2 linked regions of the Oryzias latipes genome follow. The protein of the gene in region 2 binds, or shares a complex with, the protein of the main gene of each other region. Links are inferred from orthologs where the notes say so. Each region holds a gene or a part of one and is shown on either strand. Other genes may lie near its edges. The genes, in order: brk1 and cytoplasmic FMR1-interacting protein 2.

The links.
Region 1: cytoplasmic FMR1-interacting protein 2 (region 2) and brk1 share a complex: the UniProt entries of both Homo sapiens proteins name them as parts of the WAVE1 complex. The link is inferred for Oryzias latipes from reciprocal best matches to the Homo sapiens genes CYFIP2 and BRK1.

The regions. Positions count from the first base shown.
Region 1 is NC_019863.2:7,144,261-7,148,456, forward strand, and holds brk1 (protein BRICK1), read left to right. Parts: upstream 1-1,567; 5' UTR 1,568-2,072; coding exon 2,073-2,190; intron 2,191-2,525; coding exon 2,526-2,608; intron 2,609-2,684; coding exon 2,685-2,711; 3' UTR 2,712-3,487; downstream 3,488-4,196. UniProt on the Homo sapiens protein: Involved in regulation of actin and microtubule organization. Part of a WAVE complex that activates the Arp2/3 complex. As component of the WAVE1 complex, required for BDNF-NTRK2 endocytic trafficking and signaling from early endosomes.
Region 2 is NC_019868.2:21,207,993-21,211,812, forward strand, and holds part of cytoplasmic FMR1-interacting protein 2, read left to right. Parts: intron 1-241; coding exon 242-395; intron 396-1,092; coding exon 1,093-1,249; intron 1,250-1,329; coding exon 1,330-1,426; intron 1,427-1,505; coding exon 1,506-1,582; intron 1,583-1,661; coding exon 1,662-1,770; intron 1,771-1,849; coding exon 1,850-1,969; intron 1,970-2,045; coding exon 2,046-2,245; intron 2,246-2,317; coding exon 2,318-2,405; intron 2,406-2,545; coding exon 2,546-2,689; intron 2,690-2,815; coding exon 2,816-2,906; intron 2,907-3,820. UniProt on the Homo sapiens protein: Involved in T-cell adhesion and p53/TP53-dependent induction of apoptosis. Does not bind RNA. As component of the WAVE1 complex, required for BDNF-NTRK2 endocytic trafficking and signaling from early endosomes.

The sequences.
Region 1 (4,196 bases), on a different chromosome or scaffold from region 2:
TTGGTGTGGGGATGACTGGGTACTCTCCCTCCTTTTTACATTCCATCATCCACCTTAGGAGAACAGAAAAACTCACAAGCGCTATCTCACCTTTGCACAAATAGTTTGTGTGACTGAATGAAATGTTTCACATGTGTTAGACTGAATGTATAAGTATGCGTGTGTGAACGTTATATGTACATGTTGACATATTTCCATGTAAACATTTTGGGAGCCAACAGGTATGTTTGTAACATTTGAGTGTGTGCGTGGACAGGCCCCGCCCCTTTTAGATTTATTATGCATCTGAATCTGACAGTAATGATTATAAACTTCCAGCAATTTGTTGCTTTATGATTTTAACCCCCCCCCCCACAGTCACCCTCCTACCCCCACCCCACCTCCCTTAAACCCCTTTTTCTTCTTCCCTTCTTTTCCATACGCTCCAACTATATATTTAATATAAATATAATTAATAGATAAAGTTTTGTCTAAATTACAAAAGGGGTTTATTCAAATATACACCTTGTGTGTCAGAAGATTCATAACTTCACGTTGTAACATTAAAATATGTCCAACACAAGAGGCCTTCGGCTCTCATCTGTTTGCTCAGCTGTTGGACAGGACAAGTTAGAAAATAAATAAATTACGGACAACTTTTTGTTCACTTTGAGACTGTTAAACAGAAAAAGAGGGCTGCTGATGGGCTAGGCAAAAAAATCAATTTTTCGATAAATTCGAATTTGTTGCAATTTATCTTGGGGGAGACTGGGATTGTGTTTTTCCAGCACTGATTTCTTGGGCTTCTGTTGTTTGGAATAAGGTCAGCCCGTCCGTTTCTTACGGAGCCCCTTAAGGGCCATTGAAAAAAAAAAATAAAAGGAAAAAAAAAATTGAAGTAAAAAGAAAGAAAAACTAACGGGTGCGCACCAGTTACTAGGTAATTTGTGCACGGAGAAATGTTTCCAAGTTACCTGGAAATGGCATTATGTGAGCTAATTGAGTTTTACTTTGCTTTTTGACTTGTCTACAAAGAGATTCCAGCTTTGCTAGCTTACCGTCACAATTACATCATCTCTGAACGTCATCTTAAATGGGTTTTAAAGTCATGTGGTTTGTTTCAAAAAGCTTTTAAAAAACTAAAGCCATTTGTTATTTGTATTAATGGCTGTTAGTAACTGGTGAAAAAAAATTTAAGTAAAAAAAACAAAAAAACAAACTGCACCCAATACTAACGGGTGCAGTTAGTTTTTTTTTTTTTTTTTTTGCTTCATAATCTTTCTTTTGTTCAATGGCCCTTTAGGGGCTCCGTAGTTTCTTGCCATACGCAGTCATTAAAATGGCAGCTAGCAAAGAGGAGCTTGTTCCCAAAATAGGAAGACTTTTTTATTTTTCCCCAGTTCTATGGTGCTGGTTGAGTTTTGTGACTTTAGACTTGGAGCAAGAAAACTGTTGGAAGGCTGTTGCTAGCAAAAGTGGGAGTATGAAACAAAGCTGTGAAACAGCCGGTCCAGTGCCTGGTCACTGCTCAGCTGAAATGCAGGCTGGTTCTGATCCAGTTCAAACATTGTTTTTTCTTTCAGTCTGTGCTTTAAAAACAATCAAACATAATGTTATGGGTCCAACTGCTCATGATTAACAACACTTTGAAGAAAGAAATACACAGAAATACATTTTTAAGCTTAACTTTCTTGATATCTTTCCTCGATTATGAGAAAATGTTAAAGGAACATGTTAAAAACACCATTTTCATTGGAGTGGGACGGAATTGTTGCCATGGATTAGCAGCCTTACACGAAGAACAAATCAGAAATTGTATCTCCATGCAAAATCAAATCATTATACAGGATTTATTGACATTTTTGAATTTTTCATGGATGAAAGTAGTGATGAATTTGCTTAAAAACTATCTGGCTGCTGTAACGCATTTTTCGTTTAACATTTGTAATAAATAATATAAATAGAAAATGAGACTTCGGTAGAATTTAAACTCTTGTCTCTGGAAACAGTGAGATCATTGCGACCGGCGCCCTCTGCTTCCTGGATGATAGCTAGCTTCGGTGCTCGGTACTGCGGGCGGAGAATCATCCAACATGGCTGGCCAGGAAGACCCAGTTCAGAGGGAGATTCACCAAGACTGGGCGAATCGAGAGTATATAGAAGTCATAACGAGCAGCATCAAAAAAATCGCCGACTTTCTGAACTCTTTCGGTAAGGTTTCGACCACCATCTTCGGCGTGAAAGCGTAGAAAGATGGCGATAGCTTGTTAAGCTAGCCCATGTTGATGTTTTTAATGGACACTCCTAGTTAGCAGTTAGCTTGCAGGCTAGCGGTTTACGAATTGAAATTTGGGAAGAGCAAAATAAAAGTTTAAATTATATCTCCGTCCAGGGTAGCTGTATTACATAACAGAATGAAGACTAAATTCCATGGGACTGTTACACTGTAAACCCGAAAAAGCTTCAAATGCTACTTTATTGTTGTCGTCACTCGACTGTTCGTTAGCAGCACCTTTAAAGGTTTTACCACATTTGAACCCAAACAGACATGTCCTGTCGATCCCGCCTGGCCACCCTCAACGAGAAGCTGACAGCGTTGGAGAGAAGGATCGAGTACATAGAGGCCAGAGTAAGCAGAACAGCCCTTCCGTGTTTCCCATTCTCAATGCTAAGCAGCTGCTACATATTTCTGTTTGTGAATGCAGGTGACAAAAGGAGAGACCCTGACCTAGAGAGGACCATGGATGGGACTTCATGTTCTCCCTGAATCTGTGTACCCATCCATCCACCACCCAGAGCTTTTGGACTGAGCGTTCTGGACTCCACCTTCCCTTTTTTAGGGGGGATCATCATAAGGACCATTTTTATATCTTGTGATTGACCTTTGTTGTGTTGTCTTCATGGCAGAATTTTGAACATAAAATGAGTCCATCTTTGGGGTGTGGCTGACTTCATTGTTATTTTTTAGAACAAAGTGGGAATCATCAAGTTTTGGTTTCAAAATGATATTCAGAAATGGACCTGCTCTAAACTTTAAGCATGCAGTGTCATAAACAAATCAGAGATTTATATAGAAAAATAGGGGTCAATTCTCATGTGCCAAGTTGAACAAGTAATTAGTTAGAGACCATTGAGGATATTTGTACAGCAAATGTTTCTGAAAATAAAGGCATTGCATTGTTTGGCTCTATTATGTTTAACTGGACTACAAAAGTCCTACTGATGTAATTATTAGGAAATGTATAAAGTTTAGTTATAAGAAACAAAATAATATTGTGCATATGGTAAGTTAGAACACGTTCATTTTGTTCACATCAATCACAGCAAACTAAGGGATGTAGGGGTTGTGTATTTTGAATTTTACAGTTTGAAATTATAGGTTTTCCTAATGTCCTTTTTTGATTCAAACTTTATGAAATAAGATTTTTTTTCTTGTTTGTTTCATGTTGGAAACGTGTAACAAATCTGTAAACTACAACTCCCAATTAAATTAAAAAAATGGCGGAAATTTGTTTGTTTTGTTACCCTTAATTCTGACTTGCAGGCCACAGAAATGGGAAGCATATTTTCTTTAAAATACAGAGGAAAAGGGTGGATCTATACAGGTTGAGGGGCCGGAAATGGGAGGATATGGAGGATGTTGGAGTGATCGAGGACGGGGATGGAAATGGACAGTTAGTTCCATGAGTGTGATGGAGGTCTGAAGATCAGAAAACGTTTGGGAGCACAGAGCAGAAAAGGTGGCTGTTGTTGTGAAGCATGACGTCACAAAACTCTTTAAATTTGAAATGGACTGAAGAGCGGCAGTTGGGCCCGACCACATACCTGTGAGGGTATATGGAAGTGTTTAGGAGAGGTGGCCGTGTGGCAGCAAACTTTTTCCACTGAGCTGTTTAGTGAGGTCTTATGAGAGGACGCCTGGGGAATGGGCGAGTGCTCATTTTTTAAGAAGAAAGCGGTCATGTTAAGTTTTTGAGACTTTAGAAGAATAAACCAGATCAGTAATGAACATTTGTGGGGGAGCCAGTTTAGCTCGTGCTGGTTTGCGGCGCCTTCCGTCCGTGAAACCCGGGTTCGACTCCGGGCTGCTCCCTGTTCCCTTCTCTACCTCTGCCGGTTCCAAGCCCGGTTTGAGAAGGTTGCGTCAGGAAGGGCATCCGGCGTAAAAACATTGCCAAATTTACCATGCGACTCGTTCGCTGTGGCGACCCCTGATG
Region 2 (3,820 bases):
GCCACAAGATCCCTGCTCTCACCAACAGGGAGGGGGAAGATTAATTTCTAATGAACTACTGCCACTCCATAGGAACAATGTCCACAGGTTTTTAAAAAAATTGGCGAAAAACAACATAATAATTAAAAGACCACTGGGATACTAGATCAAAATAAAACACAAGTGGGACTTTAAGCATTTTTTGTTTCTTAATTTGTGAAAAATAAAAAGCATTTTGATGTTTGGTTGTCTTCCTGTGCAGTTGTACATGGTCCGCACCATGCTGGAGTCCCTGATAGCAGACAAAAGTGGATCGAAGAAGACTCTCCGCAGCAGTTTGGATGGACCCATAGTGCAGGCCATCGAAGATTTCCATAAGCAGTCCTTCTTCTTCACACATTTACTGAACTTTAGTGGTAAGCTAAATGTAATTCAAGTCATTTATTCAGGAGATGGAATATATTTTTTGATTGAAATCGAAAATTTTAGTTGGAATATCAAACTATAAGTGCATGCTGTTTGTTTTAATGATCCTATTTAAGCATGAAGGTTTTAACAGCTATCTGTACCTCTAATGATTTCCTTATATAGTCCACTTTGTCAGGTACAGCTCATCTAAACTCTAGTGCAGACAATAGGTGAACCTTGCTCTGTTTGAGAGGAAGGTTCTGGTTTTCATGTTTTTTATGGTTGACCAAAGCGCAGAAGTGAACCAAAAGGAGAAATGACATAAGAGTTATGTATTAAAAGTAGCAACAAAATCAGCAAAACTCAGAAGGAATCACATAAAGTTGAAAAGCATTGCAGTGTAAACTTGTAGTGAGGAAATACTAGCGCTAATTATCTGAGAGTGGTTGTGGCAATAGTTGTTTTTCTTCGTCTTCCCTGCTTTGGTCTGCTTATGCTGCCCCCAAGTGAGCAGCACTTGAAACTGCAGGTTTTCTTCAGGCAGTTAAATCTGCTTCAGCAGCTTCTGAGAGCTGTATGTGCTTTAGCAACCCAAACCAGACGAATGTACGACAGTTATTTGAATTTTCTGCTCATTTATACAAAGTCCACAGGACTATCCTTGTGCATGTAAGCAATACTTTTAATTGTGTTTGTCTTGTCCAGAGGCCCTGCAGCAGTGCTGCGACCTGTCCCAGCTCTGGTTCAGGGAGTTCTTCCTGGAGCTGACCATGGGCCGCAGAATCCAGTTCCCCATTGAAATGTCCATGCCATGGATCCTTACTGACCACATCCTGGAGACAAAGGAGCCTTCCATGATGGAGTAAGACTAATTAAGGGGAGATTTGTGTTTTGTACCCTAACAAGTGGGCAGTACTGCAACCATTACCCTTTCTCCTCCAGGTATGTGCTGTACCCCCTTGATTTGTACAACGACAGTGCCTACTATGCTCTTACAAAGTTTAAAAAGCAGTTCCTCTATGATGAAATTGAGGCTGAGGTAAGATCTGATGGACACCAATTCCATTTGGCTCATTTTAAGTTGAATTTGATATATATTTTGTGTGTTATTTGAACAGGTAAACCTGTGCTTTGACCAGTTTGTCTACAAGTTGGCAGATCAGATCTTTGCCTATTATAAAGCAATGGCTGGCAGGTAAAAGGAGATTTTTTTTTTGAACAGAATACAGAAATTTGAGGGCTTCGTTTGAAGAAATTGTGATTTTTTTCCACAGTGTTCTGCTAGACAAGCGTTTCAGGGCAGAGTGTAAAAACTACGGGGTCATCATCCCGTACCCTCCATCAAACCGCTACGAGACGCTGCTCAAACAGAGACACGTACAGGTATCTGCACATCGTCTTTTTGATTATTTTGCTGTCTCATTTGCAAACTATGTCATTGTCGTATTTGACTCGTCTGCAGCTGCTGGGTCGCTCGATTGACCTGAACCGCCTGATCACCCAGAGAATCTCGGCAGCGATGTACAAATCCTTGGATCATGCTATTAGCCGTTTTGAGAGTGAAGACCTCACCTCCATAGTGGTGAGGGGACCATCAGGTGAAGCTTATTCCTGTTCGTTCTCCATATTTTGTTTAAACTCCTTGTATTTTTGGACAGGAGTTGGAGTGGCTCCTGGAGATCAACAGGCTAACCCACAGACTTCTGTGCAAACACTTGACGCTGGACAGCTTTGATGCCATGTTTCGTGAGGCCAACCACAATGTCTCTGCTCCCTACGGACGAATCACGCTCCACGTTTTCTGGGAACTCAACTTCGATTTTCTCCCAAATTACTGCTACAACGGATCAACGAACCGGTCAGCTAAATAAATGTAAAGAAAAACCATTGTTTTGTTTCAACTTTGAACCATCTCTCCTGTTCCTCTCAGCTTTGTGCGAACAGCTATTCCTTTCACCCAGGAGCCTCAAAGAGACAAGCCAGCCAATGTGCAGCCTTATTACTTGTATGGATCCAAGGTATATTGCCATTCTATGTTTGGTGTTCATATTTTTATCTATTTTTTGTTGCTTTTTACACTGTGTAACAAAAGAAAAACTGAAATAATGACTATGCTGCCTCCGATTATGATTCCGATGCTTCCTCTTTTTCTTCTCAGCCTCTGAACATCGCCTACTCCCACATATACAGCTCCTATAGAAACTTCGTCGGCCCGCCTCACTTCAAGACCATCTGCCGCCTGCTTGGTTACCAAGGCATCGCTGTCGTGATGGAGGAGCTGCTGAAAATTGTCAAGAGCCTGGTATTTATCTTCCAATTGCAGCCTCCAAAAAACATGTTGTCATGATCTTTCTGAATTGTAACCGCTATCATTATCTGCCTTTTTCTTTCCCTTTCGATGCTTTTGTCTATCTATTTTACCCTATAGTTGCAGGGCACCATACTGCAATATGTGAAAACTCTGATAGAAGTCATGCCCAAGATCTGCCGTCTACCGCGCCATGAGTATGGTTCCCCCGGTGAGCTCACCTCTGTCTTTTGTCCAACCACATTTACTGACAGGTTTTGAAATTTTAAACTTAAATGTGCACTTTTTATTTTTATTTTTTTTTAGCAAAAATGACTCAAATAAGGAAGTTCAGTGTAAATTCAATTAAAAGCATAGATTGTGACTGGTTGAGGTTTTTTACATACTACATTAAATTAAAAAACCATCAAGCTGAGATTCATAATGACTATTATTGTTATAATCCAGTATAAGATTATTCCAAGAAACCAGATCATTTAATTAAATTCTAATGGTCTATGTAATTGACCAGCAGATTACACTGAAAGCTTTTCATTGGAATCTTCATACTGAGTAAGCTAACAGCAACAGGGCATAAACTTCCATTTTTAAATGGAAGATTAGGAAGAATTCTTCAGCAGAACCAGACTTGATATGAGTAACAGGTTGGGCTCTAAAAGGGGGCTAAATGCTGTGACTGTCCGACACAAATGTGACGGCCCGCAAAAATCAACAATTAACTAAAAGCACCCCACAAACCAAAATAAAACAATATATATAACGTAAGGATGGACGGACAGACAGATGAAGATTAGACAGGCAGACGAGGCCGAATATAGGCATTGAAAAGAGGGGGGCAATGCCACCTAAATGCGTCGGTGCCCCCCTGAATGTGATGGCCCACGACGTCCACCACCAACTATAGAAATAAAAATTACAAAAAAAAAACAAAAAAAAAGACATCATGGAGTTACAGACAGATGGACAAATAGACGGACACGAAAAGAAAAAAAAATACATAAATGCACCCTTAACAGCTTGCTGGTGCCTATCCTAAGACCGATAAATAAGGAGGGTAGTGTCAGGAAGAGCATTCAACCTAAAACCTAGGACATTTCAGATAGATCAAAGGAGAAGATGAAGGCT